2 linked regions of the Danio rerio genome follow. The protein of the gene in region 1 binds, or shares a complex with, the protein of each later gene. Links are inferred from orthologs where the notes say so. Each region holds a gene or a part of one and is shown on either strand. Other genes may lie near its edges. The genes, in order: skic8 and skic3.

What was found.
Region 2: the proteins of skic8 (region 1) and skic3 are in contact, whole or in part, in a cryo-EM structure (PDB 7QDS), measured with the Homo sapiens proteins. The link is inferred for Danio rerio from reciprocal best matches to the Homo sapiens genes SKIC8 and SKIC3. Residues at the interface, in NP_001290176.1 of Homo sapiens: Asp16, Asp17, Trp20, Leu40, His63, Gln64, Leu65, Gly66, Leu84, Ala86, Gly105, Pro106, Val107, Trp110, His126, Lys149, Phe150, Glu187, Gly188, Ala190, Arg194, Asp201, Gln203, Tyr213, Asp218, Val219, Gln220, His221, Asn223, Leu224; in NP_055454.1 of Homo sapiens: Lys649, Leu688, Gly690, Lys691, Tyr695, Asn960, Pro963, Val967, Asn970, Lys971, Glu974, Gln994, Leu995, Lys997, Glu998, Ser1226, Asn1227, Lys1230, Lys1252, Leu1256, Lys1257, Gln1260, Lys1261, Ala1263, Leu1264, Leu1265, Pro1267, Trp1273, Lys1295, Arg1296.

The regions. Positions count from the first base shown.
Region 1 is NC_133200.1:7,006,308-7,023,351, reverse strand, and holds the start of skic8 (superkiller complex protein 8), read left to right. Parts: upstream 1-4,834; 5' UTR 4,835-5,124; coding exon 5,125-5,136; intron 5,137-5,611; coding exon 5,612-5,639; intron 5,640-5,745; coding exon 5,746-5,851; intron 5,852-9,008; coding exon 9,009-9,181; intron 9,182-9,729; coding exon 9,730-9,878; intron 9,879-10,071; exon of another isoform or gene 10,072-11,354; intron 11,355-11,583; exon of another isoform or gene 11,584-12,398; intron 12,399-13,652; exon of another isoform or gene 13,653-14,318; intron 14,319-14,432; coding exon 14,433-14,526; intron 14,527-17,044. UniProt on the Homo sapiens protein: Component of the PAF1 complex (PAF1C) which has multiple functions during transcription by RNA polymerase II and is implicated in regulation of development and maintenance of embryonic stem cell pluripotency.
Region 2 is NC_133180.1:54,923,549-54,940,592, reverse strand, and holds part of skic3 (superkiller complex protein 3), read left to right. Parts: intron 1-747; coding exon 748-834; intron 835-1,209; coding exon 1,210-1,313; intron 1,314-1,408; coding exon 1,409-1,529; intron 1,530-3,155; coding exon 3,156-3,335; intron 3,336-3,499; coding exon 3,500-3,624; intron 3,625-6,318; coding exon 6,319-6,569; intron 6,570-7,871; exon of another isoform or gene 7,872-7,954; intron 7,955-8,298; coding exon 8,299-8,401; intron 8,402-8,553; coding exon 8,554-8,736; intron 8,737-11,353; coding exon 11,354-11,498; intron 11,499-11,588; coding exon 11,589-11,667; intron 11,668-11,768; coding exon 11,769-11,830; intron 11,831-12,898; coding exon 12,899-12,955; intron 12,956-13,046; coding exon 13,047-13,115; intron 13,116-13,205; coding exon 13,206-13,280; intron 13,281-14,312; coding exon 14,313-14,454; intron 14,455-16,078; coding exon 16,079-16,172; intron 16,173-16,782; coding exon 16,783-16,860; intron 16,861-16,978; coding exon 16,979-17,044. UniProt on the Homo sapiens protein: Component of the SKI complex, a multiprotein complex that assists the RNA-degrading exosome during the mRNA decay and quality-control pathways.

The sequences.
Region 1 (17,044 bases):
GCTGCTCAGGATACGGCCTGGTCCAGGATTATGGAAACCTCTGTAATAATAAAAACAGACTAACATGAGCACAGATGCAGTTCAAACTATATTGTCTTTTGGGAAGTGTTCCAGGCTCTGGTTGCCCTATATAATGCACACTAGAGGATTTGGATTTCAAAAGCATTTGTGTTTTATGTGCATGCTAATGCAAAGAGATGTGTCTTTAATCTAGGTTTAATCTGCTTCCCGAACTGTGCTCGGAAGGCTGTTCCAGAGTTTAGGTGCCAGATATGAGAAAGATCTACCGCCTGCAGTTGATTTTGATATTCTGGGAATAATCAATTGTCCAGAATTAATAGAGCGTAGTAGACATGAGGGGCTTTAATACACCAGGAGCTCCCTCAAATACTAGGGAGCTAAGCCGTTCAGGGCTTATAGCTATGGTTTTCCATATATATTTTTGTAGGAGATAAATTCATAAAATATGATTTATACAGACTACTTTTGGTTTTTAGACACACATGTAAACATGAAAGGTAAACCCCAATCCCGTAGCTAAAGCTAATTGAACCGTAAGTTGGCATAAACAAATCTTTGAAAACCTACAATACGGTTTTACCAATCACCTCGATTCACTTAAACTTAATCAACCCAGGCTCATTCTGAAAATGTAGCCCTATATACATTTCTGGAGAACGCCAAATATATTAGGAGCTATGATTTTGGCAGTTTTTGTTTTCGTGAATCCACCTCTGTGTACGCTTTTTGAGATTTCAAATTTCTTTTGTGAGTGCCATTCGCATCTGCTGTCCTCACATAAATCCACCGCTGTCGACTGATTGATTGATTGACTGACTGACTGACTGATCCACCATCCTCCTTTCCTAAACCCAACAAATAGTGTTTTTAAAAGCACAGATCGACCCGACCACCCACTTTCCTAAACCTAACCGACAGTTTAAAAAGCAATCCAGAAAAAGAAAAGCCCTCACCGGCAGCCTGATTTTTACCACATTTTCAGGTTTTGCCACATTCTCACCCTGTTATATACTTGTTCATTAAATTTTTTGGCTTCTGTTTTTGTCTTACCTGCTTTCTGGAATCGTTCTTCACTGGATTCAAACCCAGTTATTGTGGTCAACACCTCAAGTCTGCCGACAAACATTGTAAGCTACTTGACAAACTGGTAACAGCGGGAAAGCCATCCATATGGAGGTAATCAGTCAGCTGGTAAGCGTGAAAGGAACGGCATCAAAAACTCTTAAAAAACAAAATGCAGCCATACATAATTTGGGATCTCTAGAAACGTATATAAGGATACATTTTTAGAATGAGCCTATGTTGCTTAAAATAGTTATGATTTGACATGATTGCGTTGCATATTTCAGAAGTCTAAAGCTAATCAGGCAGTACAGTAATGGCACTAGATGATGGAATAGGACTATATTCGCTCTCCTTTTCCAACCATTCAGATCAGTAGTATTTCTAAGCACTGCAGAAAGTCATTTTTTATATTTCCATAAGCAGTCAAAGTCATAAAATAGAGCATATTTCATTCATCTAAAGCTTCAAGCATGGCATTCTTCCTCTGTTTCTGACTCACACTGTCAGATCTAGGTCAGTCGATGCTGAATTCCCTCTGCGAGACACATTGCACCTCAAAGGGCATCAGCTGAGAAACTCTCACCGCTCTAGACATAAAAGGGCTGAAATCCCACTTAGCATATGGACTTCCTTCTGTCTGACTCCCAGACCCAGAGCTCTTTGATTGGACTTTTCTGTAGTCATATGCTGCAGTCTGCAGGAGAAGTCTCGTCTGGAAGAGATTTTCGGATGAGAGTTGTTTAAACGCCTTCTGGTTTCTCTCTCTTTTTCGCGCCTCATTAACAGCAGAAGGAAATGCTTTTGAGGTGAGAAATAAAATAAAACAGTGGGCGCAAATGTCTTTTTAATGCCAGAGGTCAGAGGAGAATGGCCAGACTGATAGAAAGGCAACAGTAACTCAAATAAGCACTCGTTACAACTGAAGTCTGCAGAAGAGCATCTCTGAACACACAACACATCCAACCTTGAGGCGGATGGGCTACAGCAGCAGAAGACCACTCTGGGTGCCTCTCTTCAGGCTACTGGTGGTGGTGTAATGGTGTGGGGGATATTTTCTTGGCACACTTTGGGCTCATTAGTACCAATTGATAATCGTGTCAGCACCACAGCCTCCCTGAGTATTGTTGCTGACCATGTCCATCCCTTTATGACCACAGTGTACTCATCATCTGATGGCTACTTCCAGCAGGATAACACACCATGTCATAAAGCATGAATCATCCTAGACGGGGTTTTTGAACATGACAATGAGTTCACTGCACTCAAATGGCTCCTCAGTCACCAGTTCTCGATCCAAAAGAGCTCCTTTGGGATGTGGTGTAGTAGTCGTAACCATTAGTGTCCTTGACAGGAAATTTGTTATGGGCATCATCATATTGCTGCAGACATTCCATAAAAACAATAATATAACAATATAATATAAAATACAGCAGTTACAAAATGTATAATGCTAATTGATATAGACTCTTGTTAAATAAATTCAATTCAGCTATATTTGTGTAGCGCTTTTACAATGTAGATTGTGTCAAAGCAGCTTCACATAAATGGTCATAATAACTGGATCAGGGTGGTTCAGTTTTTAGTGTTTAAGTTCAGTTCAGTTTAGCTCAGTTCAGTGTGGTTTGAAATCATTACTGAGAGTCCAAACACTGAAGAGCAAATTCGTCAATGTGTAATAAACCCACTGAAACAGGAACAAAGGATTTTTTTAATAACGGTTTAACCTACACTTTGGGACTGTATCTTCTACCAGAGGGAAGAAGTTCATAATGTGGAAACAAAAAATGAGTTGGATCATTCACAATCCTTTCCAGCTGATTAAGGACATATTTCTCATATAAAACTTGAGGATTAAAATATTCATCATGCCCAACAATTTTCCATTCTGTCTTTAGGAGATGCATCAACTTAGATTTACACTGAACCAGGTTGGCAAACCACACTGTGATACCAAATCTCTAACAATGCTTTCAAGAACGGTTTTAGAAAACAACATCATGAGCTTCTTGTTAACTCCAAAAAGACGTAACCTACGTAAAAAATACAATCTCTGGTGTAAACGAGAACAAACCCACTCAATGTGTGTTTTCCATGTGAAAAAACTGTCGATGTAAATGCTTAAGCACTTATAGGTTTCTGACTGAGTGACAGGATGGTCGTGTACAACCACTTGACGATGGTCACCTATACACTTTGGGTCAAATATAATCTGTTCTGTTTTCTTAGTATTTATTTTTAGCTTATTTCTATCACACCACTCAACAAACCGGCTAATTTCTGACTGGTAGATAACACTGATATCATCATTCTTATAGGTTAAAAATGGCTGTGTCATCAGAATATTTAAAAATAAAATTCTGTTAATGCTTACTTGAACATTCATTTGTAAAAAGTGTAAAAAGAATAGGTGAACTGACACAGCCTTGTGGAACCCTAGTACTACTTTAATGGGAGATTCACATCATGGATGTAAAGTCGACAAATCTGCAGCAACTGCGTGATGCTATCATGTCAATATGGACCAAAGTATCTAAAGAATATTTTCAGTACCTTGTTGAATCTATGCCACGAAGGATTAAGTCAGTTCTGAAGGCAAACGGGGGTCCATCCCAGTACTAGTAAGGTGTACCTAATATAGTGGGCGGTGAGTGTATATATATATATATATATATATATATATATATATATATATATATATATATATATATATATATATATATATTACAATAACTGGTACCTGCATTTGTATCAATAATGATGTATATATTTAGTACTGTAATTTAGAATTGAGAAATATATATTTAGTATTTATTTTATAAACAACTAATATGTTTATTACTTCAATTTCAGTTTCTACTTGCACTTATACATGTTGTTTAATAATGCTTTGATTATCTGGTCTTTTCAGTACAATAATGTATTTTTATCATTTATATTTTATGTTTTTATTATATTAGCATTGATTCAATAAATGTTTGATTTTTATTATTGTAAAACAATTGTAGCCTTTTTAGTTAGTTAAAAATATATTTTTAATGATTCATTTTGTGTTTTAATTTTAATGGTATTTTATTCTCATCATTGATATATATATATATATATATATATATATATATATATATATATATATATATATATATATATATATATATATATATATATATATAATTTATTAAATTTCTTTTTTTTTATTTGTATAATATTAATATTATTGCAGGATATTGTTATTTTTAACAACCACACTACTTGCTATACACTTTTTTTTTACACACATATACACTTATTTAACAACACACTTTATATGCCGCACATATAACGTATATAATCTACCTGTACACGTGTCAATTTGTATATTTGCATTCACTTACTTTTTTTTACTATTTAAAAAATATATTTATCATCTGTTTTTGTCCTGTATCTGTGATTCTGTTGCACTGTAGAAGCTCTGTCACGAAAACAAATTCCTCGTATGTGTGAACATACCTGGCAATAAAGCTCTTTCTAATTAGCACACACGTTAGTTAAGATATATTAGTTACATTCATAATATTATATAATAATAATTAGAATAATAGGCGGTTCATTCCACTGTGAAGACCCTTGATAAACAAGGGACTAAGCCGAAGGAAAATGAATGAATGAATAATAATATTCCTCTAGACCAGTGTTTTGAAAGCCAGCACGAGAGGGCGGAGTCAGTCGTCTGTTCCCATGCTGCTTTGCGCGCAGGTGTCATGGCGGCTCTCTAGTCGGTATCATTGCGGCCGTTTATTATTGTTAACAGACCGCATTATTTCCTAATTTAATATCCGTAGCTACCATTAAACGCTTACGGTGTTTAGCTCGACCGCGCTACAGCTTTTTCGGGACGCACAGAAGACGTAAAGAATCCGTTCATTTATTGAAAAGCTAAAATACGCTAGCACCATTGCATGAATTGAGTGTATAAAGTGAGATAATTAATAATAAAAATCACACACGGCTTATTAACTCATAAGAACTCCTTTATAGCACAACCAGGGTTTGAAGCGAAGAACCATGAGCACACAAGTGAGTTAATCTCTAATATTTTCACATAGCTAGAAGTTTTCTGACTTATTTAACGTTACACTGCAACAAATGCTCTTACTACTTAAAGTTTGACTTGTTTCTAGTCCAAATCTCTAAAAAATATTTAAACCACGAAGCTTTTTCTAAATAAGCTAAACATAGTGTCTTGCTTTAAGAAATAATATGTCAAAATTAAGCGAGTTTATTCTTAAAGCAAGCTAAATAATCTTCCCTTGAGGTAAGAAAAATAATCTTGCTTTTCCTTTTGATTTACGATTATTTTGCTTACCCCATTGGCAGATTATTTTGCTTGTTTTAAGGAAAATCTCACTTAATTTTGACACATTATTTCTTAAAACAACAAACTATGTTTAATAAAAATCATCTAAGTAAGAAAAGCATTTTTAAAGTGTATTATACAGTGATCAAAATCATGCTTTTATGTTATATAAATGTTTATTTCTCTGTTTTTCAGTACAGTATACTCTTCAAGCAGGAGCACGGTGAGTCCTCCTCACACACTTATTCCTAAAAAATGTCTGGAATGTAGTGAGCTGTCTAGATAGGGAGCATATTTGAGCTACTAAATGTGCTTTTATGCATTTGCAGCTCATGAAGACGCCATCTGGACAGCAGCATGGGGTCGCAGTGAGAAGGACGGCTCTGAAACCATTGTGACCGGCTCTCTGGATGACCTGGTCAAAGTGTGGAAATGGTAAATCAATGAGCAAAGTGCAGTAAAAGGGTAAACTTTTGATTTAGAGTGTGTTTGCAGTAAGGCTGTGTGTAGCCCTGTCACAATAATCCATATATCGACTTGTCGAGCAATACTTTGAGATGACCTCAATCATTTTTGCCGTTGCAGTATATATTTACAAATTCACAAATAACGTTAAAGCCATTTTACAATGACATTTACATTCTACCTCACCAGTGTCAAAGTTTAAAATGAGACATTTACCTAATAGGACATTAAATGGTATATACAATAGGAAATTACCTTTTTAACGTCAACTTATAGAATCTAAATATGATAAGTATTTTAAAGTGATAATGGCTGTTTGAGTTATTATGCTGATATAGGATCATTATATAATCAGTGGTATAAAATGATATCAATATGACAGTAGTATCGCGTATTGCAACTATTTCCTAAGTTCCTTATCGTGACAGGCCTAGCTGTGTGATATAAATACAATTCCGAGGGGTTTAAATACAATTTAGTTTACAATTTTGACTTTAAATCGCACTAATTTATAACTCACAGTGGTTGAAAATTCTGACATCTTGTTTCAGAATCAATGTAAACTCACAATTGCAAGTTTAAAAAAGCAGTATGTTGGACTAGGGTTGTAACAATATACCGGTATGACGGTTTACCACGATTTGAACGTGCACGATTATCATACCATGAACAATTGCATATCAACGGTTTTAACCCTTAAAGACCGAGACAGCCGCCCGCGGCTAAAAATAAGTATTGCTCTTAAATGTTTAATAACCTTTGATCCGCTGATCTGATTCATACAATTGAAAGATTGGCATAAAGAAGAGAATCTCAGCTTTCTAGTGCTGTATCACATAACATTCGCGGACTTTCAGAGGCTCCGGAATCAGTGCGGTTACGTCATCAAAATTTGACAACGCTGATTTGACAAAGAAACGCTCGTCACTGTGTCTCCGGACAAACCAGACATGATACATTGATGCATTGTCCCTCCTCCATGCCCAGATTGGTTCAAACTCGCTATATCACAACCAATAAGCATAGGTTTCGCTTTTGTTTGTGGACCAACACTGAGCTTTTTGAACAACACGGAATGAGAGATAGGCATACATTTCTGCGCGGCTAAATAAAACGAAATGAAGGTGCAGTTGTTTGTCTGCATTGCATACAACCACATCCAAATCCATATCCACAGACAACCATATCCATGGTGGCACATAAAACCTAAGGATGTTCCATATTGAATCTAGTTTCGTTATGTAACTATTTATAGTATAGTAAATATTTATATCTATTTTTACTGAGGATTTGCACCATGTTTATTTGGACTTTGACATTATTTATTATTTTTTTATTTGTTCATTGTACAAGTGGACACATTCTCTCACCTCAGCGGTCAATATTAAGTCCTGAAAATCTCAACATGCTTACATTTCTTCATCACAACCTAGACTGAAAAAAACAACGCTTTAAATACATGTTTACAGCCATAAACTTGGTATTGCACTTTTGGTCTCCCATTTATCCTGCTTATAAGGAAGGACAGTTTAAGTTTATTTTTGTCTAATCTTAAAAGACCCTGCTTGTTTATTCCTTCTAATTTAATTTATTAAAATGGGAGATTTTTCAGTTTATTTTTATAAAAGACTTCTATAGTTCTATTAAAATGGTTCTTTCAAAAGTTTGTTGAAATAAAACCTTTGTTCAGTCAGAAAATGTGTTCTTATTCTTTTCAGGGTCTTTGCTATGAGAATTACTATTTAATACCGTATACTGCGAAACCGTCAAACCGTGGTATTGTTTTAGACGATTATCATACCGTAAAAAATTCATACCGTTACAACCCTATGTTGGACATTCTATGCAAAAACGTTAACAGAGGAGCATATAATATTTGTTTTATATCACATTTATATATGTGCCATTTATTCAATCTGTTTTTCTAGTGCCATGAAGAGAAGTTTGCTTTTTGCCGATTTGCATTTGTGAATGTGAAATTTACATAGTGATAACGTTTATATTAAAATTGGCATCTTTTAAAGAGCAACCCTTAACATAATAACCCAAAATCATTTATAAGATCTTTATTATTATTTTTATATTATGAGCAACAAACAAATTTTATATACACTACCTAGGCCTAGTTGTTTAATTCTCCTGGTTCTCTTAGTCCAGGCCCACCTGGGCTAGCTAATAAAGCTCTTACCAGGCTTTCTAGAAACATCCTTGAAGGTGTGTTGAGGCAAGTTGGAGCTAAAATCTGCAGGACACCGGCCCTCCAGGACCGAGTTTGGACACCCCTGTCTTAGTCAGAATCAAAAAACAGTTAAATAAGTTTTATTTGGCCATTGAATATACTTGGATGGACGTCCAGCATTCTGCAGCCTCCTGCACCCAGACTGCAGCTCTGCACAAGTAGTTTGGCCAGAGGAGAAATTGTTGTGCTCAACTGATTCTGATTTATCACTAGATTTTTTTTTTCCTTCTTCACTTTCGTCAATTGGTGAAGTTTTGTTTCTCGCCACTGGCTTGCTTGGTTCGGGACATGTGGAGCTAGCTGCACATCAATGGATTTGCTCTTCAGTGTTTGGACTTTCATCAGTGAAAATTAAACCACACTGAGCTAAACTGAACTTCAACTTAAACTGAACTGACACTGTTTCAATTTACTAGAACTTCTATGTTCAGCTGCTTAGACACAATCTACATTATAAAAGTGGTATAGAAAGAAAGAAAGATGAATCGAATTAAATTGAACAATAATCACATTCCAGGATTTATTTTCTGATATGCATAAACTTACGAAAGCAAACAAACAAACAAACTAAAAGAACACCCCTATCCCAGCCTGTAAGTGTACAATATAGTGGCAATCAAAGCAACTTTTTAGTTACAATACATAGCTTTAAAGAATATAATTCCTCATGAAATCACAGAGGAAAGGGCCCCAGATCTTGCGAAATTGTCCACGTGGGCTTTTTAAAGATATCTTGTTCGTTCCAAGTACAAAATCTGCATCTTTTCATTGCTCTCACCAGGGATCAGATGGCAGCATTCACTCCAGAGTTGTTTTCAATTGAACCAAAGCTTTCTCAAGGTTAAACCTACCCTAAAAAGTGTCTATTTTTCTGCTCTTGTCTGGCAGGAGTGATGAGAAGCTGGAGCTGCAGTGGACTCTCGAGGGTCATCAGCTGGGTGTTGTGTCTGTGAACATCAGTCAGAATGGAGCCATCGCCGCCTCCAGCTCTCTGGATGCTCACATTCGCCTCTGGGACCTGGAGACGGGCAAACAGATTAAATCCATGGACGCGGGACCTGGTAAGCGTTCATTTCTTTTTTTTTAAGAGCAGGTGTATGGTATATTAAAGTGTCCTAATATTGTTTTAGAGTCATCTAAGGTCAGAAAACACTGTAATTTCCTCAGATTATGTAATTCAAATTAAAATAATTCTGCAATGATTTCAGCACAGTTTGTTTGAATGAATCGTGGGCTTATAATCTGTAAACCCCTCCCTTCCGTAAGTCAACTCTGCTCTGATTGGTCAGCTGGACAAGTCTGTTTTGATCGGTCTTTCTGAGCCTATTCCATGTCAAAAATTAAACACCCATTTCAGAGTGTTCGTATGTTTTGGAATAATGCAAAATAGTTACTGTTATTGTCTTGTCGTAGATTGGTAGAAGGCTAAAGACTTGAAAATGTAACGGCTCGTTAAGGCAATTTAGAGTTAAGTCTTTCTTAATTCATCTTGATTGGCACTTTTGCAGACTGTTTACATTGAAACATTGGGAAAAATCTTTTTCGAAATCCCATTTGATGTTTAATGCAGCTTTGAGTGTGGTGAACTTATTTTCTATTCCGTCTGCAGTTGACGCCTGGACGGTGGCTTTCTCTCCTGACTCCAAATACATCGCCACCGGCAGCCATCTTGGGAAGGTCAACATCTTCGGTGTGGAAAGTGGGAAAAAGGAGCATTCACTGGACACCAGAGGGAAATTCATTCTGAGCATCGCTTATGTAAGATCACAAAGCATTATTAAAAGGCATTCATTTTAAATGTTACATCATTTGTTTTTATTTTACGTACACACACACAATGCATATGTATATTAGTATTAATGGTGTAATGCAGGGGTGTCCAAACTCGGTCCTGGAGGGCCGGTGTCCTGCAGATTTTAGCTCCAACTTGCCTCAACACACCTGCAAGGATGTTTCTAGAAAGCCTAGTAAGAGCTTGATTAGCTAGGCCAGGTGTGACTGATTGGGGTTAGAACTAAACTTTGCAGGACACCGAGTTTGTACATGCCTGGTGTAATGGATCACAAATACCACAGTTCGGATCTCATTATGAGTTTTTAGTCTCAGGACCATTTTTCATATCAACCAAAAAGGGGAGGAGACAACTGTAATTTTCTTTCCATTTATTACAAAAACAGCACTGCAGGAAACTTTTGGTTTTAACAAACAGATATTACAACTTGTAATTTTATTAAAAATTAAATGAAGAAATAATCAGCTGAATAAAAATTTGTTGTAAAATGTTTAGTACAGTGAAGAATTAACTGTCACGACTGAGTAATTCCATGCAAATGTCAACCTTGCCATGAAAAAAAAACTAGGTTTTCAACAAAATAGCAAAACAGTTTTCAAGATTTCGGGGAAGCAATTATTTTTCAGTACATTAGAAATAATCAAAATATCTCTGTTAGTGTTTTCTTTCTTTTTTTTTTTTAACTTTGTTTATTTTGAATATTCAGTTGAGTACAATCACAGTATTTTAAGGTACAGTGGTATCTCAGTATGTGAGCTTAGATGGTATAACAATTGCGTACATTATTGTCAGGTGTATTTTCTACACAGTAGTACTCAAATTTTGTAAATTATAAAATGAAAAACAGCATAAAAAGAGAAGAAAAGTAAAAAAAATAAGAAAAAGATCCAATAAAATATAATAATCAAAAATAAATGGAATTTAAAAAACTATTTACATCCAGGGTAAGAACACATGTCATAATATAATTCCTTCCAGAATAATCTCAAGTGACTATCTTCATTATACACATGGGGATGTTACACATAATAATATGAATAAGTGTAACCATATACATGTACATACATTAGCATATATTTATCTATCAGAACAACATCTTGTATTCATTTATAGCAACAAAGTCGGGTCTTCTAACTAAAATATATTTAACCCTTTTTCTCCATTTTCCTAGGAATATATCCTTCTTTAAATTGACAACAAAAGTGATTTTTTCCATTGTGTCGATCTCAATAGTTGCGTCTATCCAATAACTAAGGGTTGGTCGCTCTTGCTGTAGCCATTTGCGTGTGATCTGTTAGTTTTTTCAAACTATTCTAGTTGAATTAGCAAAGTCACACAAGTGGCAATTTTACATCGGTCACATCCATAACGAAGCAAATTCACATAACGGCACTTTTTCCTCATGAATGCAACAGTATAAAATAATATCAATATTTTTTGTTCTATAGAGAACCAACTCTTATCGTTTTGATTAGCATTATTTCTTTTGGTTTGTGCAATTTAATATACAAAATTTCTACAAAGTAATTTGTGAACTGTAAACTCGCAGACTCTTTTGGTCACATCCATAACGCATGTCTATTTTCCTCATTTAAAGTGCGAATCATGTTTACAGATTGATATTTTTCTGGTCCTGTAACCCTGTGGTTAGTTGTTCTGTAAAATATAAACAAATTTTCAATATAATGTTAACGTATTCTTTCTATGTGAATTTATGTTTTGAGTTTTTACTCCAATTGTCACATCCATAACGCTGGAATTGCTACTACTGTTACTGATAACGCTAAATGTGTTAATCTAACATTATAATTTGTTAAACCCATATTAATTTTTAGTTTAATTTTTTTAATAAATGATTCAGTCTTTCACTCATAAAACTTCATGTTTCATTGCTACATGTATCGTTTTTGAAGCATTATACAATGGCATATTTTTGATGGCTGGTTGTCGCCACCTATTGGTTAAATAATGTAATTGCTGCCTACAATTTTCATTTTTAAGCATTGTTAAATGCATATGACAGTAGTTTTAATCTTTACCATAATCATCAGTGGTTTTATCTAAACTATGAACTGTTCACCAAGTAATTCTGTGTCATTTGACTGTTTGTAACTAACTCAAAAGACTAAAGACTCCATATCTTTCTTGATTTTTGCGTATTTCAAACACAGATTTGAATGCAGCGATTCGAGGATTAATAAACATGTGCAAATCACCATCATTTATAATTGATGTTGAGTGGGTGTTGAGATCCCAATCTTTTATTGATTAATCGTGCAGCTTACACTGAATTCCTTAATGCAGGCTAAACAATGGGCTGTTTCTCAATTCCAATTTTTATACGAATTTCAGCAAACAAATTCCCTTAATGTGTATATTCCTTTATTAATATGTCCATGGTAATGTTTACATTCACCGTTTCATTTTGGGAACCTCCTGAAGTAAATAAGTCATATCTCTGAACTTTAATAACAAATCTAAATAAACTGCTGCGCATTCCACCTCCAGTCGCAATGACTTCTGGGACTTTTAGAGCAAGAACGGTGCTCAAGTCTGCATTAGTGCGTCCTTGATATCAAGAACACATCCGGGAAGTTTCAGGCATCCTCTGTTCTTGCGGTCTTGAGTATTATGCCTGTTTCACACCGCAAGCGTCAGCGGCGCGTGAGCAGAGCGTGAGCAGCGCGTGTGTTTTCGGCGTCCATGTTAACAGATTAGAGCTTTCATACCGCAAGCAGCAGCAGCGCGTCAGAGCGAGGCGTGAGCGTCGCCGAAGCAGCAGTGCAGCGATAGTTTCGGCGCTGGGTCTATTTTTGACGCGCATTAAAGTTACAGTGCATTGATAATGACCAAAACACATTGAATGACAGTAAAAAGTAGCAATTTTACTCAATAAATGCGTTAATAATGTCAAATGGTTTATATAGTCATCCAAATTAACTTAAAACGATTAAAAACGGCAAGAAACATTTATTTAGGCCCGAACTACAAAACCAAATGTAAAACAATTTTAGTATCAGTTTTGCTTAAGTTGCACACTAGTGTTGTAGGAGAGGGGAAATAGAATATTTACGGGATTTGTAGTCCATAGCAAAGTGTATTGTGGGTAGTGTAGTTCGACACGCATGCTGGATGATGTGAGCTCGCTGTGTTCTGTGCAGCTAGCAGAGGAAGAAAGTTTTAATCGGCTTTGTTTTATGTTCACTCGAGTTATTCCTACCGGGAGCTGTTTGCTCTGTGAATCTGACAACACGAAAATAAGTAAAAGAATGGCATGCATTGGTTACTTTTGTCCGTCTCATCATCTGCACGAGCATGAATTAACGAGCTGTTATTCTGCCGCTGGACATCACTGAAGCGGAGAAAGTAACACTAGTTTGATCATGTATAAATATCATTATAACTATATTGTATAAATATTATTATAACTAGGTCTACAACACAGGCGATTGTCTTCTGACTGTAGACACTTCTCATATAAGTTAGCTTGAGAAGCATACAGTACTATTTGATCTATAAATTTTGTAAAATAAACATTTGCAGGTTAAAGAAACAGCATAGGAGGGGCCTTGTTGCAGATGAAAAGTTTAAAAAGTGTATTTGTAAATAGAGAGACATGGGTAACTAGATAGAATACACAGAGATAGGTTGATCTCTGCAGCAGCTGCCGAAGAGCTCCGCGCTGCAGACGCAGCTGGTGTGAAAGGCAAACGCCTGCATGCTGCTACTGCTCGACATACGCGCTGCGCACGCTCTGCTCACGCGCCGCTGACGCTTGCGGTGTGAAACAGGCGTTAGAACTTTGGCAGCTGATGATGACATTACACGAGAACACAAGACTAAGTAATGACAGAAAACACCTTTAATAACCTAAGAAACCTGCCACATCCTGAATAACCCACCACATATTCCTCATTATATTTTACAGGAAAGCCTAAATGCTTTCATACATGTGATTTCAATGGTGCAAGAGGTGATCGCTCTCTGATCGTTACAAATTTAGGATTGATCTACAAGTAAAGAAAAAAGTATTCACCTAATCTGCGGGTCACATGTGTTCTGAACTGTGGGTTGTGATCTGATGAGTTTGTCCAAAAGGAGCTAATTCAAAATCATTTATCACCATCATATTCCATTATAATTTATGGTATAAGTTATTACATATGTAGGTTATTAAACATAACAAGGTCCAACATCTTTTATGGTCTTGAGAATGTAATGACACTATAAATTATAAGGATTCCTTATAAAAGAATGTTGAACAAATGGCTTTTGTTATGCCTAGCTCTAAAATGTTTTGTTACCAAGAAATAAAGATAAAATATTGAGCATGAATCATGGAAAACATCTGGGAAATGTATTTTTCATAGGGCAGAGCGTTACAGTGACACTTATGTACAGGCTTTAAAAAAAGAAAGAAAAGAAATAGATTTCACACATTACGCACTCTCACACACATTTGAACGAACATTTGTTGGGTTTTCCAGACTGTAATATCTTTCTTTTCTCTGTGTCTCCAGAGTCCAGATGGAAAGTACTTAGCCAGCGGTGCTATTGACGGAATCATTAATATTTTTGATATTGCGACTGGGAAACTCCTGCACACGCTGGAAGGTGAAAATCGTCTTCCACATGATTCAGGCTGTCTTCGGTTTCCTCTATTAAAGCAGAGCGTCTGCTGGATGCATTTAGGATGATTATGGGTTACGTGAACGTGCTGGAAAAGCCTGTTTGCGTCTCTGGCTGTCCCTCAGGGGTTTTAAACTTCAGCTTCTGTCACAAAACAACTCCAGTTCTTTCCTCTTTGTCTTCTTCGCTCTTCCCTTTCATTCAATCCAAGAGGTCCAGATGGAAATAATGTGTTAGATGCAGTTCAGTTCTTACATTACCTGTTAAAAGTTAGTCTATCTATCTATCTATCTATCTATCTATCTATCTATCTATCTATCTATCTATCTATCTATCTATCTATCTATCTATCTATCTATCTTCTATCCGTCCGTCCGTCTGTCTATCTATATGTCTATCTGTCTATCTATATGTCTATCTATCTGTCTATCTGTCTGTCATTCTATCTATCTATCTATCTATCTATCTATCTATCTATCTATCTATCTATCTATCTATCTATCTATCTATCTATCTATCTATCTATCTATCTATCTATCTATCTATCTATCTATCTATCTATTCATCTATCCGTCTATCCATCTGTCCGTCTATCTATCTATCTATCTATCTATCTATCTATCTATCTGTCTGTCTGTCTGTCTGTCTGTCTATCTATCTATCTATCTATCTATCTATCTACCACAGCGATCTGTCTTAGGTCCAGAACATATATATACATATATATATATATATATATATATATATATATATATATATATATATATATATATATATATATATATATATATATATATATATATATATATATATATAATAATAACGTTATATCAAATATTATACTATATATATATATATATATATATATATATATATATATATATATATATATATATATATATATATATATAGTATAATATTTGATATAACGTTATTTAGTGTATTATTGTTTTAATTGATTCATAATTTATTTCTATGATTTTTTTTTTAGATTTGAGATTTTTAGTGTTGTATGATCCTTCAAAAATCATTAGAAAATGCTGACTCTCACTTTTTTTTAGGATTTCCTTCATGAAAAGTAAGTTAAAAGTAACTTATTTGTAATTCAATATTTTTTGTTTTTACATTTGAAATGTTTTTTTTTACTTTCTTGGTGAACAATTTAAATGTGTTTTAAAATTGTGCTGCATTATTGCACCCCAGCAGTTTTCAACACTGATTACAATAATAAACAACAATAAATGTTTCTTAAGGAGAAGTTTGTATTCTAATGCTTTCTGAAGGACAATTTCAACTGTGTTTAATAAAAGAAATTATAATTTATAATTTAGTTTTTTTGCAATTTTAATCAAACAAATGCAGCTTTGGGGATTAGAATTAGTTTTTATTTTTATTAAAATCCTGTTTTTTTTTTTTTTTTTGTTTTTTTTAGCAGTTGTGCTTTTTAACTTCAGCTTCTGTCACAAAACAACTCCAGTTCTTTCCTCTTTGTCTTCTTCGCTCTTCCCTTTCATTCAATCCAAGAGGTCCAGATGGAAATAATGTGTTAGATGCAGTTCAGTTCTTACATTACCTGTTAAAAGTTAGTCTATCTATCTATCTATCTATCTATCTATCTATCTATCTATCTATCTATCTATCTATCTATCTATCTATCTATCTATCTATCTATCTATCTTCTATCCGTCCGTCCGTCTGTCTATCTATATGTCTATCTGTCTATCTATATGTCTATCTATCTGTCTATCTGTCTGTCATTCTATCTATCTATCTATCTATCTATCTATCTATCTATCTATCTATCTATCTATCTATCTATCTATCTATCTATCTATCTATCTATCTATTCATCTATCCGTCTATCCATCTGTCCGTCTATCTATCTATCTATCTATCAATCTATCTATCTATCTATCTGTCTGTCTGTCTGTCTGTCTGTCTATCTATCTATCTATCTATCTATCTATCTACCACAGCGATCTGTCTTAGGTCCAGAACATATATATACATATATATATATATATATATATATATATATATATATATATATATATATATATATATATATATATATATATATATATATATAATAACGTTATATCAAATATTATACTATATATATATATATATATATATATATATATATATATATATATATATATATATATATATATATATATATATATATATATATATATATATATATATAGTATAATATTTGATATAACGTTATTTAGTGTGTTATTGTTTTAATTGATTCATAATTTATTTCTATGATTTTTTTTTTAGATTTGAGATTTTTAGTGTTGTATGATCCTTCAAAAATCATTAGAAAATGCTGACTCTCACTTTTTTTTAGGATTTCCTTCATGAAAAGTAAGTTAAAAGTAACTTATTTGTAATTCAATATTTTTTGTTTTTACATTTGAAATGTTTTTTTTTACTTTCTTGGTGAACAATTTAAATGTGTTTTAAAATTGTGCTGCATTATTGCACCCCAGCA
Region 2 (17,044 bases), on another chromosome or scaffold:
CATTGTTGCAATCTAAAACGAGTAACGTGTATGATTCAGCATAGCGTGAACTTACCTGATAAAACATGAGAACTGCAGAGTCCAGCATTTCTAATTAGGTTTGTCACTTTATTCAGCTCCCCTTTAGCCAAAGACGTCTGCAGTTGGCATTAAAGCAGTGTGGTGTATGGTAAAAGTTAAGTTAAATTTGGCATCCTACCACACAAAACGACATGTTTGCCATTGCAGCCGGTCTTTTTTTGCTACCGGGGACCCGTGTGACAAAGGTTGGTATTTGTCTATAGGTCCGAATGACAGATTTTTTCTTAATCAATTCTGGTGAACATTTTAAGACCTTATAAAAAAATAATTAAAATTTTACAGTAAGTAAAGATCATGTTCCGTGAAGATATTTCCTACAATAACAATATTAAAAACTCAATTTTCGGTTATTAATTTACATTGCTAAGCATTGTATTAATATTTTCTCAATATATGATTTTCTTTAACCCAGAGATTCCAGATTTTCAAGTAGTGTCAAATCCTTAAAAAAAAACATATAATAATGGAAAGCTTATTTATTTCATATGATGTATAAATATTAGTTTCAAACAAATTATACTTATAACTAGTTTTTGTTACTATCAGTGCAACAAGCAGGTGTTCTGGTTAATACTTTGATGTAAACCTTTTTCACATAAACATATATTTCTAATAGCATTGTTTTAAAAGACACAATAAAATTATATAGTTTCATTTTCTTTTTAGATTTCAGATGCCAAAAATGATCCAGTGGTTTTGGCATTAAAAGGAAGAGCTTACTTGGAAAAAGGCCAGACGGAGGAAGCATTTCAGGTAAACAGAACTGCATTCCTAATGTTTTTTATCTATTTATTAAAACAATAGATGTTAAAGGGATAGCTATAAATATGAAAATTTACTCAGCACTTCATCCTCAAATACGTTTTTTCTATTTTAAAGAATGTTGTTAACCTAAAAGTTGATGATGATCGCCAATACCTTCTATAAAATGCTAAGGAAGTTAGTTTGTTTACCTACTGTATGTTCTTCATAATATTTTCTTTTGAATTTTTTTGAACAAGTAAATAGTATTTATTTTTTTCATTTTAGTGAACTATTCCTTTAAGAAATTGGATATTCCAAAAGCGAAGCAGTTCATAATAATGCCATTAATGCAATAATGCCACTGGAATGAAATGATTCTTGCAGGTTTCCACTGAGCTTTTGAGCTCTCACCCAGGATCTGTGGATGGTCTCACTTTGAAAGCACTTCTACATGTTGCTAAAGAACAGCACAAACAAGCTGAGGAGAGGTGTGAAACTCCACATATGCACACGCACACATGCATATATCATAAACAACTTGGGTGTAACCACCAGGCACTTATTTTCTCACTCTGTTACACAGCTTTCTAGAGGCTTTATCCAGAAGTCCAGATAGTGGGGAACTGTTCTTCCTGCTCGGGTCCCTTTATTGGAACATGGGAGAGGAAATACGAAGAGACCGCAGCAAAACTCATTTACTCAAAGTGAGACACTTTAAAATCCTTTTATAGGACCCTGGTAAATATAATTTATTTCCCCCACATTTTGTTTTGTTTTTCCTTTTAGTTTTTATGTATTGTTTTTTAATTTTCTGTTTGAAATATATTTTTTAATTTTGATGGATATAATTTTAGTAATCAAAAACTATTATTTAATTGTTAGCAATATTTGAAATAAAAGTAAAATTTTTTTTAAGCAAAAAAGTAGCAAAAATAGTAGCAAAAAAACAAAAAAAAAATTCTCCCAAACTTTTGGGACTATTAAAGTTCTGCTACCTTAAAAAAAAAAAAAAAACTTAAAATTTAATGGGTTGTTTTAAATTAAAATTTAGGCAATGTCCTCATAAGGGAATGACAGAAGCTAAAAATAACACAATCTTCACATTTTATTAAATATTGTGCATTCAGTTAATGGAATGAACAATTAAGTATAATTCAATTTGATAAATTTTACGTAATATGGCACATTTCTATTTTAGTTCCACTGGAATATTTAGTTCCGCTTCATTAAATTATTTTGGTCAATGTTTATGTAGACTTCAGAAGATTCTCTTCCCTTTGAATTAAAAAAAAATATTTCAAATGTTTGATTACTAGACGCAACCTATATACTATATAACTCCAGGTTAACTATGTTTATATCTAATAACTTTTACTGTTAAAGTTATTAGTAATTGGTACCACACGTCCCACACGGAATCTGCAGATTTCTGCAGATTTTCAGCCAATTATTGAGTCTATTCAGTTGTGTGTAAATGTACATTTCTTCAATTTTTAAATTAAATTCAGTAATATTACTGACTAATATAAAAATTTTCATATGATTTACTTACAATGCAGTTTGCAAAGTAATAATAAAAGACTAAAAGTCTTTTAGTAGATATATTATATGAGTCACTTAATTTGTTTGCTAAATAAATGTAAACATTAAATAATAGTCAAAAATGTAGTATTTTTTTATTTCATATATTAGGTTTTTAGTTAAGATACACTCAAAATCATTCTGCATAAATCTGTAGATTTTTTACAATATTCTGCACAGAATAGCAAAAAATGTCTGCAGATTCTGTCTGGCCCTAATAATTAGTTATTAGTTAGTTAAAGTTATTAACTACTAAAGTAACTAATAAAGTTATGGTAACTAATAACCTTAACTTTTCTGAATTTGATTGTAATGCAATAATGTGCACCTTGTGTAAAGCTGCTTTGTAACAATAATTATTGTAAAAAGTGCTAAACAAATAAACTTGAATGAAATACTTTGCAATTTATTTAATATAACTGTAATGATATAAATACTCAAGCTTTTCATTTACCATGAAAGGATGACATTTTTTACAAGAATGTCACCCGGAACCCCAGGCAAACTCAAATGACATGTTTAAAGGGAATAACAAACATTGAAGAATTTATTCAGAATAGTAAGGCTCTTAACAAAAACACATCACTGATGATGGAATTTTTTGGCCAAAATAGGAGACTGCAAGCTATTTTTAACCATCCTACCTGCCTCAGTGGAAAACAAAAACGAATAAACTATTCTGAACTCCCTAGCTAGCCACAAACCAGAAGATGATCATAAATATATTTCTTGTTTTCTTTTGTTTTAAGGCAGCTAAACTGGATCCTTATCTTGGTTCAGTTTTTCGCCTTCTGGGTCATTACTACAGAGAGGTGGCTAAAGACCAGGGCAGAGCCAGAGGCTGCTATAAAAGAGCATTTGAGCTGGATCCATCTGATGCTGAAGCCGGAGCAGCTGCTGTAGATCTCAGTATGGAGCAGGGGGACATGGTGAGTGAAGACAGAAGTGCATTTGTCTTGTAAAAATGCATTGCAGTCCGTTTGAATGTATCATTTGCATCTTTTTTTTCTCATCAAGATACAAGTTTAACATTGCAGAAAATAGGTTCATTTAAATCAAGGTTAATTTGCTTCATGATGTTCCCTATCTTTAGGACTCGGCGCTGACTGTTCTGCAGTCTGTGACAGAGAGAGCTACTCCTGGCTCTGCTAAATGGGCCTGGATGAGACGAGGTCTCTACCACCTTAAAATTGGCCAGCATCAACAGGCCATTGCAGAGTAAGTGAACTGATGTCAGCTGTAAGGCCTAAGTGGTAATAAGATTTGTTTCAGTGGCCCAGGGTGGTGTGCTCAGCAGATACTTTAAAAGCTCTTTTTAAAGCAACTGTAACGTTAGCAGTTATAATGATGCAAGATGTTAACAGGTTTTTACAAAAAAAATGTATTAGTAGTAAATCAAATCTTCCATCCTTTTGGCAATTAGAAGTCGAACAGTGAACTCCAAGTCAATTCCTAAAATTGAATCGCAGCCAATCAGGATATAGATGTAAAATGTTTCCCATATATTTTACATATTTAATATATATTAAATATGATAAAATATGGTTTTAAGTGTTTTGAATTACAGGGACATAAGGTTAAACCACCTTAAAGGTTCATGAAACCCTCAAGTACTTTTGAAAAATTTTTTAACAGATTTGTGTGTGTCGAGCATCAGTTAAGACAATGTTAGCACCTGTGAGCTTTAATTGTGGGGAAACCTGCATAATTTTGAGGTTTTGTCAGCTAATAAACATCTTCCGGGTTTAAAATTATTTTTAGTGAGGGATCAAAATCGGTGAAGTAGCGCAAAACTGCAAATGCAAAGATGATGCGTCGTTTCTCATTATTATTCATAGTGGAGTTTTCTTATCCTCTGTGAAGAGCCGGCTTCTTAATTATTCTATGTTGATGACTAGGTGAAACCATGTCCACGGACCCACAGCATGCAGTATTTAGCCGTTCATGAAGGGTCGTATGTGTTTGTTTTCATGATCAATGGGTTTTTTGCATGTTTTTTTCCTAATCCTTTCAGGGCCGATACAGAAAACTGTTTGTGTGCAGCAAGCATTTTTGTTGGGAGAGCAGTACAATGATTGGAGAATGGTGGACTTTGTCCTTTATCAGTGGAGTTTGTTTACATTTAGACACATCGCCGTGCTGCTGTGTTCGCCTAAATTTTCCAGCGGGGCTAATGGTTGAAATAGACAGGGCAGGAAACCTGCTGCATTGAGTCTGCATTCAGACCCGGGGATTGAGGGAGAAGTTCTCATTTATAGTGTTTATATGAACATGATTATTAGTGAACAAAAAGTAGCTCAGTTATATAGAAATTTGGTGAACAGATGCAAAATAACTATATTTCCAATCCCATAGTAGTATGAAAGGTTAGTACAGACCAGAATCCACATAAATAGCTTTACATAAAATTTTGCATAAAATAATCAAGACAACATACAATATGGTGTGATAAGGATACAACAAAGATAACAGAAACAAAACAAAAACAGTCTGGAAATCTATACGAAACTCAACAGTGTAACTTCAGTGTTAGAGATGTATGATCTCTAACACTGACTCTAGTGTATTATTTTTTTTTATTTTATTATTACTGATTTTTGTACTACTAGCATAGCAAGAAAAGTGTTGTCAATGTCAAATTTTATAATATAAATTTTATATATAAATGTATAATTTTTAATAATTATATTACTATTTATTCATTTATCTCCATTTCGGCTAAGTTTTTTTTTTAATCAGGGTTGCTACAGCAGAATGAACCGCCAAGTTATTCAGCATATGTTTTACCCAGTAGATACCTTTCCAGACGCAACCCAACGCTGGGAAACACCAGTAAACACTCAGATACACTCATACACTATGGCCAATTTAGCTTACTTAAGCTTATTTTAGCTGGTTTTAATTTAGCTTAAAACCAGAGCACCCTAAGGAAACCCACACGAACACGAGTAGAACATGCAAACTCCATATAGAAATGACCAAACTGACCCAGCTGGGACTCGATCCAGTGACCTTTTTGCTGTGAGGTGATTGTGCTACCCACTTCGCTACCGTGACGCCCAATTATATTAATATATTTTTTTTAATAAACAGCTTATAAAGATTTCAATATAATAAAGCAGCTTTCACAATGACAGACAGATATAGATAGATAGATTTGTATGCGCATTTTGGAATATCACATAACTAATGCTTAATAGAAGTCCACACTCCTGTCTCAAAAGATTACTTTATCATTTTAAAATTTTGGTGGTTAAATTATTCAATACTTAACCAGTGGTGTAAAGTAACAAATTACTAGGGCTGCCAATTGATTAAAAAAAATTAACAAATTAATCACGCTTTTTGTTGTAATTAATCATGTTTAATTGATTAATTATACAACTGCAGCAAACCACTTGAAAGCATTAAAAGTGTCAAAGAAAATGTGCAAAATCTTTACATGCAATGATCCAAAGACTGTTCTGACTGCATCATGTAACTGATAAGAAGATGAAGGATGTTTACTATATGATAACTGAAATTGCCAAATGGCCTTAAAAAATAACTAAATGCACTACAGAATGTTACATTCACACACACACACACACACACACACACACACACACACACACACACACACACACACACACACACACACACACACACACACAAATCGCATGTAAAGGCAACAACAGTTCACTGTGTAATACTCACTATTCTTGAATAGTTTTGAAAAGGGCTACTTTTTAGATACAGATACTTTTACTCGCACTACATTTTTGAGCAAGTAATGTTACTCAAGTATGACTTTTCAGTACTCTTTCCACCACTGTACTTAACACATTTAAATACAATTATTAATATTGTTTTGTTTTGTTTTATATTTTTTTAAGTATTTGAAATGTACTCATGATTCTGCTGTGGTGTCAGTCTGCAGGCGGCGTTGAGGGCTGATCCTCAGGACTGGGTCTGTTGGGAATGTTTAGGCGAGGCTTACCTAAATCGCAGGAGCTTCACCGCTGCCCTGAAAGCTTTCGATAAAGCCCACGTACTGCAGCCCACCTCCATCTACAGCCTCTATCAGACCGCTGCCATTAAACAAATCCTCGGCCGCTTTAAAGAGGCCGCCGCGGAATACAAGCAAATCTTAGAGAAGGAGGACTATGTGCCAGCACTGAAAGGTTTGTTGGATTTCTGCAGAAACGTTGCAAACACTTTACAATAATATTCCATTAATGTTAGCTAATGCATTTACTAACATGAAGTAAGAATGAACAATAATTAATCATAGTTTAACCTGTACCAATACAATATTAAAATACAGTCAGCGTCAATGCTTCCCATTCACTTTAAATGGATGACGTCAGGTGTTGCTAAACTTCATTGTGAATGTGTCTGCTCGCTGCAGAAGTTCTTAAGCGCCGACATACATCTCCGATATCTCGGATACAAGTGGCCAAAATGAGTTTCCTTCACAAGGTGGCAGGGTGCACCCTTATAGATACCCAGGAGGAACTGTAGAGGAGTAGAGCTGCTGCTCTTCCACATCGAGAGAAGTCTGAGGTGACTCGGGCATCTGTTTTGCATGCCTCCTAAACGCCTACCTAGGGAGGTGTTTCAGGCATGTCCCACTGGAAAGAGTCATGGGGATTGCCGTATTGCTGCAGACATACAATAAAAACAGTACAAAATACAGTAGTTCAAACAATAATAATTATGATAAAGTCTTGTTAAACAAACTCAATGAAACGGGTACAAAGAATTTCTTGTATTGATCAAACTACACTTAGGGACTCTATGTCTCTTACCAGAGGGAATCCAGATGGAGCAGTAAAATCTACTTGAAAGTGACAGAATGTTTAATTCCTCCTGAGGACTTGACACCCACAATTAATATTTATTAATTAATTATATAATCGAAACTTGGCAAAGAGAATGGGACAACTGCATAAATAATAAATTACATGAAATTAACCTGAAAATTAATAAAAGACACTTTGCAAATGATAATTTTGAGACCAGGGATGATCAAACTATCTCAACTAGATTGGACATTTTAACTAAGACCCACCTGAATGTGATTACTACCAGGCTGCTACTACTATCAAACTAATTTTGTTGGAATGTGAAAGTTTGAATAGAATTAGACAAAATATTTATAAGGAGAGTACTTTGATGGACATTTTTAAAAAGGTACCACCAGGAATAATCTTAAATTATTTATCAAAAATTGAACAGAACATTCATGTTTAACTTTGAATATTTTATTTATTTATATTATATATATTTGTCTAAGTAACTTTTTATTGTAATACGAATTAGTTTTTATAATGTCATATGTTTATGTATATTCATTTTGCCATGAAATAGCCATAAGTTGCTGATGTGGCAATAAATAAATAATAAATACATAAATACCAGAGGGAATAATTTTATTAATATATTATCTGTTTATTGGCACTTATAAAGTTTCACAAATTTTCTACCAGGAGTGGTGTTTGAACCCACGAGGACATCTGTCCATTGGATCTCAAGTCCAACACCTTAACCACTCAGCCATCTTGGTTAGCCCTTATAGAGTTTGATATTATTTTACATCCCTAATACTACCCAAAACCTAAACCCAACCACTACCTTATTAACCAGCTAGTAAGTAGCTTATTAGTAGTTTATTGACCTAAAAGTCTTAGTTTGTTAATAGCTGGAGTTTTACATTAAAATAAAGTGTGATCTGAACAACTTTAATTTCATTAACTAACTTAAATAAATACTGTAATAAATGTATTGTTCATTGTTTGTCCATGTTGATAAACACAGTAACTACTGGAATATTATTGTACAGTGTTTTCCATACAGTATATAAACTTGTAGTGCTTCAGAAAGACTTTTTACTGTGTTTTGCTTTCTCAGGTCTTGGTGAATGCTTGTTAGCTTTGGCTAAAAGTGCACTGGATGACTATCTTGATGGAAGAGCTGTAGATCTGATACAAAACGCCATCCATTATCTGTTCAGGTAAAGTGTTTTGTGAATATGGAGGTCTGCTGGAAAAAAATGAATACATCTCATTCTGTAAAAAGCCTTCAAGCAATGTAAGGTGTAATTAATGGCTGTCATCCATTGAGTATTGATGTGATCTCTTTGTTTGTTTTCTTCTGTGCGCTCAGAGCTGTAAAGCAAAGGCCAGACCTGTCGTGTCTGTGGAAGTTATTAGGTGATTCCTGCACCGCCTCCAGAACTGTGTCTCCAAACCGGGCTAAAGTGCTGGTACCTGGAGCTCTGTGTGGAATGGATCCATCCGATCAGAAGCACACACTTGACCAGAGACAGCTCCTCACTCTCGGAGAAAGGTGAAAGACATACATTTACAATTGCCCATCAGATTAATGTTCAAATAACAAACTTTTTGAAATCCAGTCCTTAGTAGGAACATAATCAATTTTTTCTTTTACCTCAAGACATGATGGGGTTATTTATACACAATGTCATATTGGACAAACTAAATGTACTCCTGGACATTTAATTAAAGGGGAATTTCCCAGGATTTTATTAGTATAGTTTTATATTATCTAATATCATACTAAATGTAATTCAAATTTTTACAATGCCATATTTTTAATGTTAACAACATTAAAGAGACAACGTTTTTTTTTCTCTGGAGAGACTTTAAATAATATACATTTTAAAGGGGAATCATTTAAATACTGTAGAATTTCTATAAAATGTTTGTCTTAAAAATCTGTTTTAGACATGGCATCAGGAAATCTTATTTTACGATAAAATAGCCATTAAAGCTAAAATAGCCATAATCTCCCTTCTGCACCAAATAAGGCAATTGTAAACAGAAATGTTTACTATTAGGGTAATATGGATATTTTTTCTCTATTTCTTGAATGTAATATGTAATATTGGTAAATAAGCATATACAATCTACATTTGAACAAATCATTGAAGATGATAAGAAGACTTTTTTTTTTCTAAATTTTCTGCTAAATTTGTGATTATCCACTTGTAATCAGGACAAAATTGTGTCAATACCAGGTGTATAGGGGCCAAGTGTTAATATTTGAACATCTGAAGTGGATCAAAAAAGTTTTTCAAAATGTTCAAGTCATTGTAATGACATATATTTTTGCAAAAGATTTCATATCTCAAACACAAGTACTTTTCTCCTGAACTTTTTATTCTTCAGAGCATTCACAAAAACACTAAGCATCACAGTTGTTTTCAGCATTGATGATAATAATAACAGGTTTCATACGGTCATGGAAAACCTGGAAAAATCATGTAATGTTGACATGGCATTTTCCAGGCCTGGAAAAGATTTGGAAAAACAAAAAAACCTACAAGGTTTTGAAAAAGTCCTGGAAATTGCATTTACATTTAGTCATTTAGCAGATGTTTTTATCCAGAGCAACTGGGGTGGTATTAAACAATAGGATTATATGTTAATAAATTGAGCGATTGCTCCATATTTTAAATGTCTTATTTTAAATGATCTTCTATTGGTCTAACCCAATCAAGTGATTCGCAGGTAAGAATTCACCAAGCTTGAACTTTTAAATGCAGTGAATGTGAAACTTGGCGCACGTGCTTGCGTTTCTAGTCTGCCGCATTCGCATGCCTATGAATGGAAGTCTATGGAGCGAAAAGTGCAGTGTAATCGCTGCTTTACAATAAAAGTAGTTTTACCTACTAATACTAGTTAAACAAGCTATTTACATTATCTAAAATTAGTTTAACAAATATCTGTATACTGGATTGGAGGTTAGATATTTTTACTTCTTTTCTTGGCCAAAAACATGGTCTCGCATCATTAGTGCTGTGTAACCATCATCTATTTTATATAAATAAAAAAAATTAATTAAACCGCAAGAGACTGTTGCATGTTTTATGATATGCTGTAATAAATGTAAACATTCTTTGTTTTTCTTATAATTTACCTTGTGTATGTAGACATTACATTTCCCAGAGATGGGTTGCAGCTGGAAGGGCATCCGCTGCGTAAAAAAAGATATGCTGGATAAGTTTGCGGTTCATTCCGCTTTGGCGACCCCAGATTAATAAAGGGACTAAGCTGAAGAGAAATTGAATTAATGAATGTAGACATTACATGAAACATTAGATCATGAATATTGACTCGAAAGTCCTGGAAAAGTCATGGTTTTTTTGTAATGAAAATGTGTATGAACAGAATGTTGAGTATGAAGCAATTATTGAGCATCAGTTTGGCTTATAAAGTGGATTTCTGAAGGATCATGTAATACCAAAGAGTAATCAAAAAACAGAAATGTGCACACATCTGGGATTCTCAAAGGCAGGATTCTCAAAAACAAATACAGTGGCAAAAGGTCAAAAGAAAATCGGCACACTGCTACTTTAGCTCTCAAAAAATGCTTGATGCAACAATATTTCAATGACATGCAGGTCGAAATGTTGTTGCATTAAACATTTTTTGAGAGCTAAAGTAGCAGTGTGCCGATTTTCTTTTGACCTTTTGCCACTATAGAGCGATCACACAGTCTCAGACTCTGCTTTGACATCACAGAAGTAAAATACATTAAATATATAAAATAAAAATCAAATTATTTCTTCCAATAATCAAGGACAAACTTTGTGAATTTGCTTGTATTTATTTAAGCAGATACAGAAACATTCATTAATTCATTTTCTTTTTGGCGTAGTCCTTTTATTAATTCGGGGTTCCCACAGTGAAATAAACCGCCAACTTATCCAGCATATGTTTTATGCAGCAGATGCCCTTCCAGCTGCAACCCATCTCTGGGAAAAGATACAAAAACATATTGAACTAATTATTAAAATGAAGACTGGAAAAATGGAAAGAAATATAAATTAGATACTGTATATAAATAAAAATACAAATGAATAGAAATAATGCCTACTGCAAAAATAAACGAATAAATGCTAATAATTTCCTCATTCTGTAATGAACCTATATTTTATTAGGTGTTTTGGTCGTGCATTAAAGCTGATGCCAGAAGCTCCCAGTCTGTGGTGTGACCTGGGTTTGAACTATTACCATCAATCCAGACTGCTCAGCTCTCATTATCCTGAGGAGGATCCCCAGGCTCTGCTGGAGAAAGCCCTTCAGGTACTTAACCCGAATTTTTTGAATTCATAGTGATCTCATGAGTATGAGTCTTAACAGGCTGTCACTGTGATTTTGTCACTGTTCTGACAGTGTGTGAAAAAGGCAATCATGCTGGACAGTGCAAATCACACATACTGGAATGCCCTCGGGGTGGTAGCCATGACAAAGGGTAAACACAATCAGATGTGCATAATCGAATTAATCTGCATTACATAACTACAATGTGATTGGTCATTTGTGTGTTCATTATATTCTGTTTTACAATCTTAGGAATTGAAAATTTTGCACTTGCACAACACAGCTTCATCAAATCAGTCAAAGCGGAGCCAAACGTAAGTGATGCAAGAAAGGGGAACAGTTTGCTTACTTTTTAAACATTTGTGTTGATGCAAGTAATATAGAGTTGACGTCAAAATGATGAGCCCTCCTGTGAATGTTATTTCATTTTAAAAAATAACTCCCTAGTGTCTTAACTGATATGTTATTATTTTTAACACATTTTTAGACACAATAGTTTTAAAAACTATTTTTTTTTGTCTTTGCCATGATGAAAGTACATAATATTTTAATAGTTATTTTGCCAGGTACTATTATTCAGCTTAAATTGCTAGTTAAAGACTGAACTAGGTTTTTAGGTTAACTACACTCAAAGCATCTGTTTGTTAACTATTTCCTTATTTTGTGATTGACAAGTGTTTCCCATTTATATACGGTTGTGAATTGCATTATGAGATGTTGATCTCTGCTCTGTTGACTTTTGAATTCAATTTAATTGAACTCCAATCCAAACTTGTTGAAAAAGTTTAACATAGTGACTTTTATTTTAGAAGTTTATATAATGTATAATAAATAAAATCTTGAGAAATAAGTCTGTAAAATAGAAGAAGGTGTACTGGCGGTGGCTTTTGTAGTATAATATATAACACCAGCCTGACAATATATCAATTTAAACTATTAAAATGTTAATAAAAGTCACTTTTTCAAACTTTTCATGGTTAAACGTTGATGGCAGAAAGATCAAGGTCCCAGAATATAATTCAAAAGCCATAAATAAACAGGGGAAAAAATAAAAACATGAACCTCAAAATATGGAAAACTGCTAATATACAGATATGGTTTACAGTGTAGGCAAGTTAGAATAAGTTATTGGAAAAGTGTTTTTAATGGGGCTAATAATATAGTTCTTAAATTTTTACAAATACAATAAAACTGCTTTTATTCCAGCTTAATTTAGCTAAAAGAAATAAGACTTTTCTCGGAAGAAGAAAATACCGTGAGATTTTTACTGCATCTCTTAAACATCACTTAATAAATAATTTAAAACAACAACATAATAAAATAAAACAACAACAACAAATTGACATGAGGGCTGATAACTGTATCTCCTGGTTATTTTTCAGAATGTGGTAGCCTGGACCAACCTTGGTGCTTTGTATCTGAAGAAGGGAAATATAGAGGTAAGGTTGGTTAAGGGATTAGCTTGACAATTACACTCACACTAATAATCTCTAATTGTCGTTTTTTTCTTTTTTTTTTTTTTTTTTTAAGCTTTCTCATGAAGCCTTTAAGATTGCTCAGTCTCTAGAGCCCCTTTATGTGAATTGCTGGATCGGACAGGTAGTTGTTTAGACTTGTGACAAGTTCAAAAATTAATATAAAATCCAGTGGTCTACTCGCAACATATCTAACATCTTTCTCGTTACACAGGCCCTCATTGCTGAGACAGTTGGCAGTTATGACACAATGGATCTTTTCAGACACACCACAGAACTGAGCACTCATGTATGTGTACTAATTTCTAAATATTTCGAATCATTCCGATATTTGGGCTTTGCTAAAAGCAGTCTTATGTTGAACTGGTATGTTTTTGGGAATAACCATGAATACAATAAATGGGAAAAAAAAAAAAAAAAAAAAAAAAAAAAAAAATATATATATATATATATATATATATATATATATATATATATATATATTTTGTTATTGTTTGTTAGAATTTTAAGTAAAGGTCATTTTCTGTAAAAACATTTAGTGTATTTCATACAGTAAATATTTTATAAACATTACATGTTTAATTAGTAATATGCATTGCTAGCAGATTTATTATATAGGCAATTTACTCAGTATTTAGATTTTACTCAGATTGCAGGTTTCAAATATTTTTATCTCTGCCAGATATTTTCCTAACTGTGCAAAACATACATCAGTGGAAAGCTTATTTCTTTAGCTTTCATATGAATCTCTGAGGTCCAGGGGCACGTATTAGCATTCAGCATGTAATGTAGATCAAAGATTCTTCAAATTCATTCTGAAACCAAAATAACACCCAGTGTTGTAGTGAACTCTGTATAAACATATATACAGACAAAACATGAAAATTTTCGTGTTCAAATAGTCTGCAATGAAATACGTCAAAGTAAATTCGGAATTCACCACTTTTTTTATTTGCATTTTCCAAACTGTCCTAACTTTTTCTGATTTGGGGTTGTATATAGTGTATATTCAGGGTGCATTCTGTAGCCCTAAATATCCACCATTCAGTGTCACAATATCCTTCAGAAGTCATTCTATATTGCTGATTTTGTCTATGTTAAATACAGTGAGTTTTTTTTCTTTTAAGTACTATAGAAAGCAACAACATTATTTGGATATAGCATTTTTAAAAACATTTTGTCTCGACTGTCCTTTTTGATTGTTTTATTGCAGCCTTGATAGATAAAATGAGATATTGCTTTAAAAAAAGACCACAAAGGTATGAATTGTAGTATATCATTTCTTCTTCATGTTCAAATGATTGCTTTATGTTCTGTTTAGACTGAAGGAGTGAAGGGTTATGCGTACTGTGTTTGCTCCACACTGCTGGACAGGAGCAATAGAGACTCAGAGCTGTATCTCTACAACATTGTCCAGATGAACGCTGTCTCTGCTGCTCAAGTTGCTCTGAGCAAGTACACTGGTGAGAACACAGACACATTACTCTGGATTAAAAAAAGTGTTAGGGTTTTTAAAGTCCATGTGAAAGGAAATTTTACGATATTTGTTTTGCTAGCTCTCTTTAATAAATGCAAATTAATCTACTGAAAAGATGGATCAAAATAGTTTGTTTAGGTAATCTTCAATGAAAGTCTGACCATTTGCTTCCACATTTAGAGTGGCAGTCTTTCATTTGATATCAACCTGAGGGCTTTCATGGCAACTGCATATTAAAACCCTCTTTTACCGTGGGTTTGCAATGAGGGAATGATGCCCACAAGACTTCCGGTTCAAACAGGCTTAAGGTGTTAAAGACTTAAGGGTGTGTTCTTGGCTCTTGGCAGGTTTGGTTTAATTAAAACAAACTCTGGTGGGATTGCTTTGATGAAACAGTTAATTTGAATAAGCGTGACACTGTGCTCTGGTGCGCTCATCTCATTTCATCTTAGGTCATTTCCAAACAAATTCTAGTGCAGTTTGGAGTAAAGAAAAGGAGTAAAGCAAAGACTAAAATTAAAGAGGCCGAATGGAGGAGGCTCATTCTATATCCTTGCGCTGCAGATGGTCTGTTTAACTGTTTTCTTGCTAGTGAATTGTTCAGTTTTTTCACTTACAAAGTCCACCATCTAAATAGCAAATGAGCAATAAACTTTTGAAGGGAATGGAAGACGAGACTCTGGTTGGTTTAATGTGTGTTATGCTCAAAACACACCCATAACTAATTAAGAGAATAAGCATAACCCTGTTAGACCATGCGCTGGGATGCAGAGTCTATTTTTCTGTCTTTAAAATAGCAAGTAGATTCAGACATGGCCTTAATGTTTTTGTGCCATGTGCTTTCGACTTCGCCTAGATCGTTAAATCAGATCCCTAGGAGTGTAATTGTAAGTAAAAATGCTAGTTTTTTAACCTATATTTTATTTTTTCTGTTGAACACAAAAGAAGAAATTCTAAAAAAAATGTTGGTGAAAAAACTGCAATTGACATCTGGAGTAGGAACAAAAGTACTAAGGAAGTCAGTGCTGTTCAACAGAAGAAAGTTAGTCAAACTTTTTTGGAACAAGTGAAGGATGAGTAAATGATGACACAATTTTCATTTTTGGGTGAACTATCCCTTTAATGTGTAATCTGAATAAATACAGTAAAACTGCATTAGATTAAAACATAAACATCTTCACCCAATGCTAAAATAAAGTGCATGTCTTACCCAATAAAATGATTATTAAAGTGCAACCAGTATGCTATTGATATCCTAAAATCTTTAACTTTCAAAGTAGGTAAATACGCTGAAATGGTACTATATGCACTGTAATACGCAATGTTAAAAAATCTGCATGCTTTTTGAATATGGAGCAAATAGTTATTGTATATTATTATATTATAATTCAAATAATGCACCACCCTCTTTGTTCATAAAAGCGTCTTTAGGCTGGAAATGGTTTAAATCCCATTATGGCTTGAATGATTTGAATGACTTGTAACGACTAGACGCATTTCAAAAATGTGTCTCCCATTGAATATTTAGGAAATTAATCATGTGACAATGACAAATTTGAAAGATGAAGAGAGGTAATGAAGCTCAGTGTTCTTTCTGTTTTTCACACCAGAGAGGATTCAGACAGACCCAGACGCCTTCATCATGCTCGGATACCTGAACACACACCTGCAGCTCAGGAAACAGGCCACTGAGGCTTATCACAGGTTTGCCCTTTCTAGCTAATTACACATGTCAAAAAAGATAATTAGGCTACCTGACATAATTTCATATTAATGGTTAATCTTTGGTTTTTTAATATTGCAGACATTTATATCTTATTTATTAGAAAAAATACTATAAAGTTTCTTGTATAAAGACAATGTTCATGCTGAGATGTTTTTTTCTACATATAATTCTATTGTGTTTTACACATTTTTATAGTTACTTATTTTAATATTTAGTTCCCCTCTGTGTTTATTATTAATTTTATACTAATTTTAATTAGTTAAATATTATGTGATTTTTTTTAATCTAATCTTGAGTTGTTTTTTAAATACTTAAATATTATTTTAAATATTTTATGGATGTTATTATTATTATTTTTATTGTTTTGTTCCAGCTATATTAATTTGTTTCTTTATTAAACTTTATAAAATAATGTTTTTTTTTTTTTTAATTTAGCATTTTTCTCGAAATATTTCCACTGATCCCCTGGCAGCCTCATACGGGGTCCCTGAAAGCCCCTGGCCTATATTACACGGCTGAATATTTGTGACACTGATTTAGACAATATTATTACAAATTTTCTCAGTGGATTTATTATTTTCTCCACAGAGCTGTTGAGCTGCTTCAGGGGTCTCTTCATACAGACAAGCTCAGCTTTGCTCTAAGGGGTTACGGACGTGCCCTCAGGTAAACTATATGTTTGTCTATAACCGAATATTGAAAATCAGAATAAACCTTTTGTCTATAAGAATGTCATCTGCATTATCAGTGCAAAATAATGTTTATTTTAAAATGTGGCTGTCAGTGATGATGGGCAGTGGGAAGAAGCAGTGCGCATTTATTGCTCCACGCCACTAGAGGAGCTGCATGA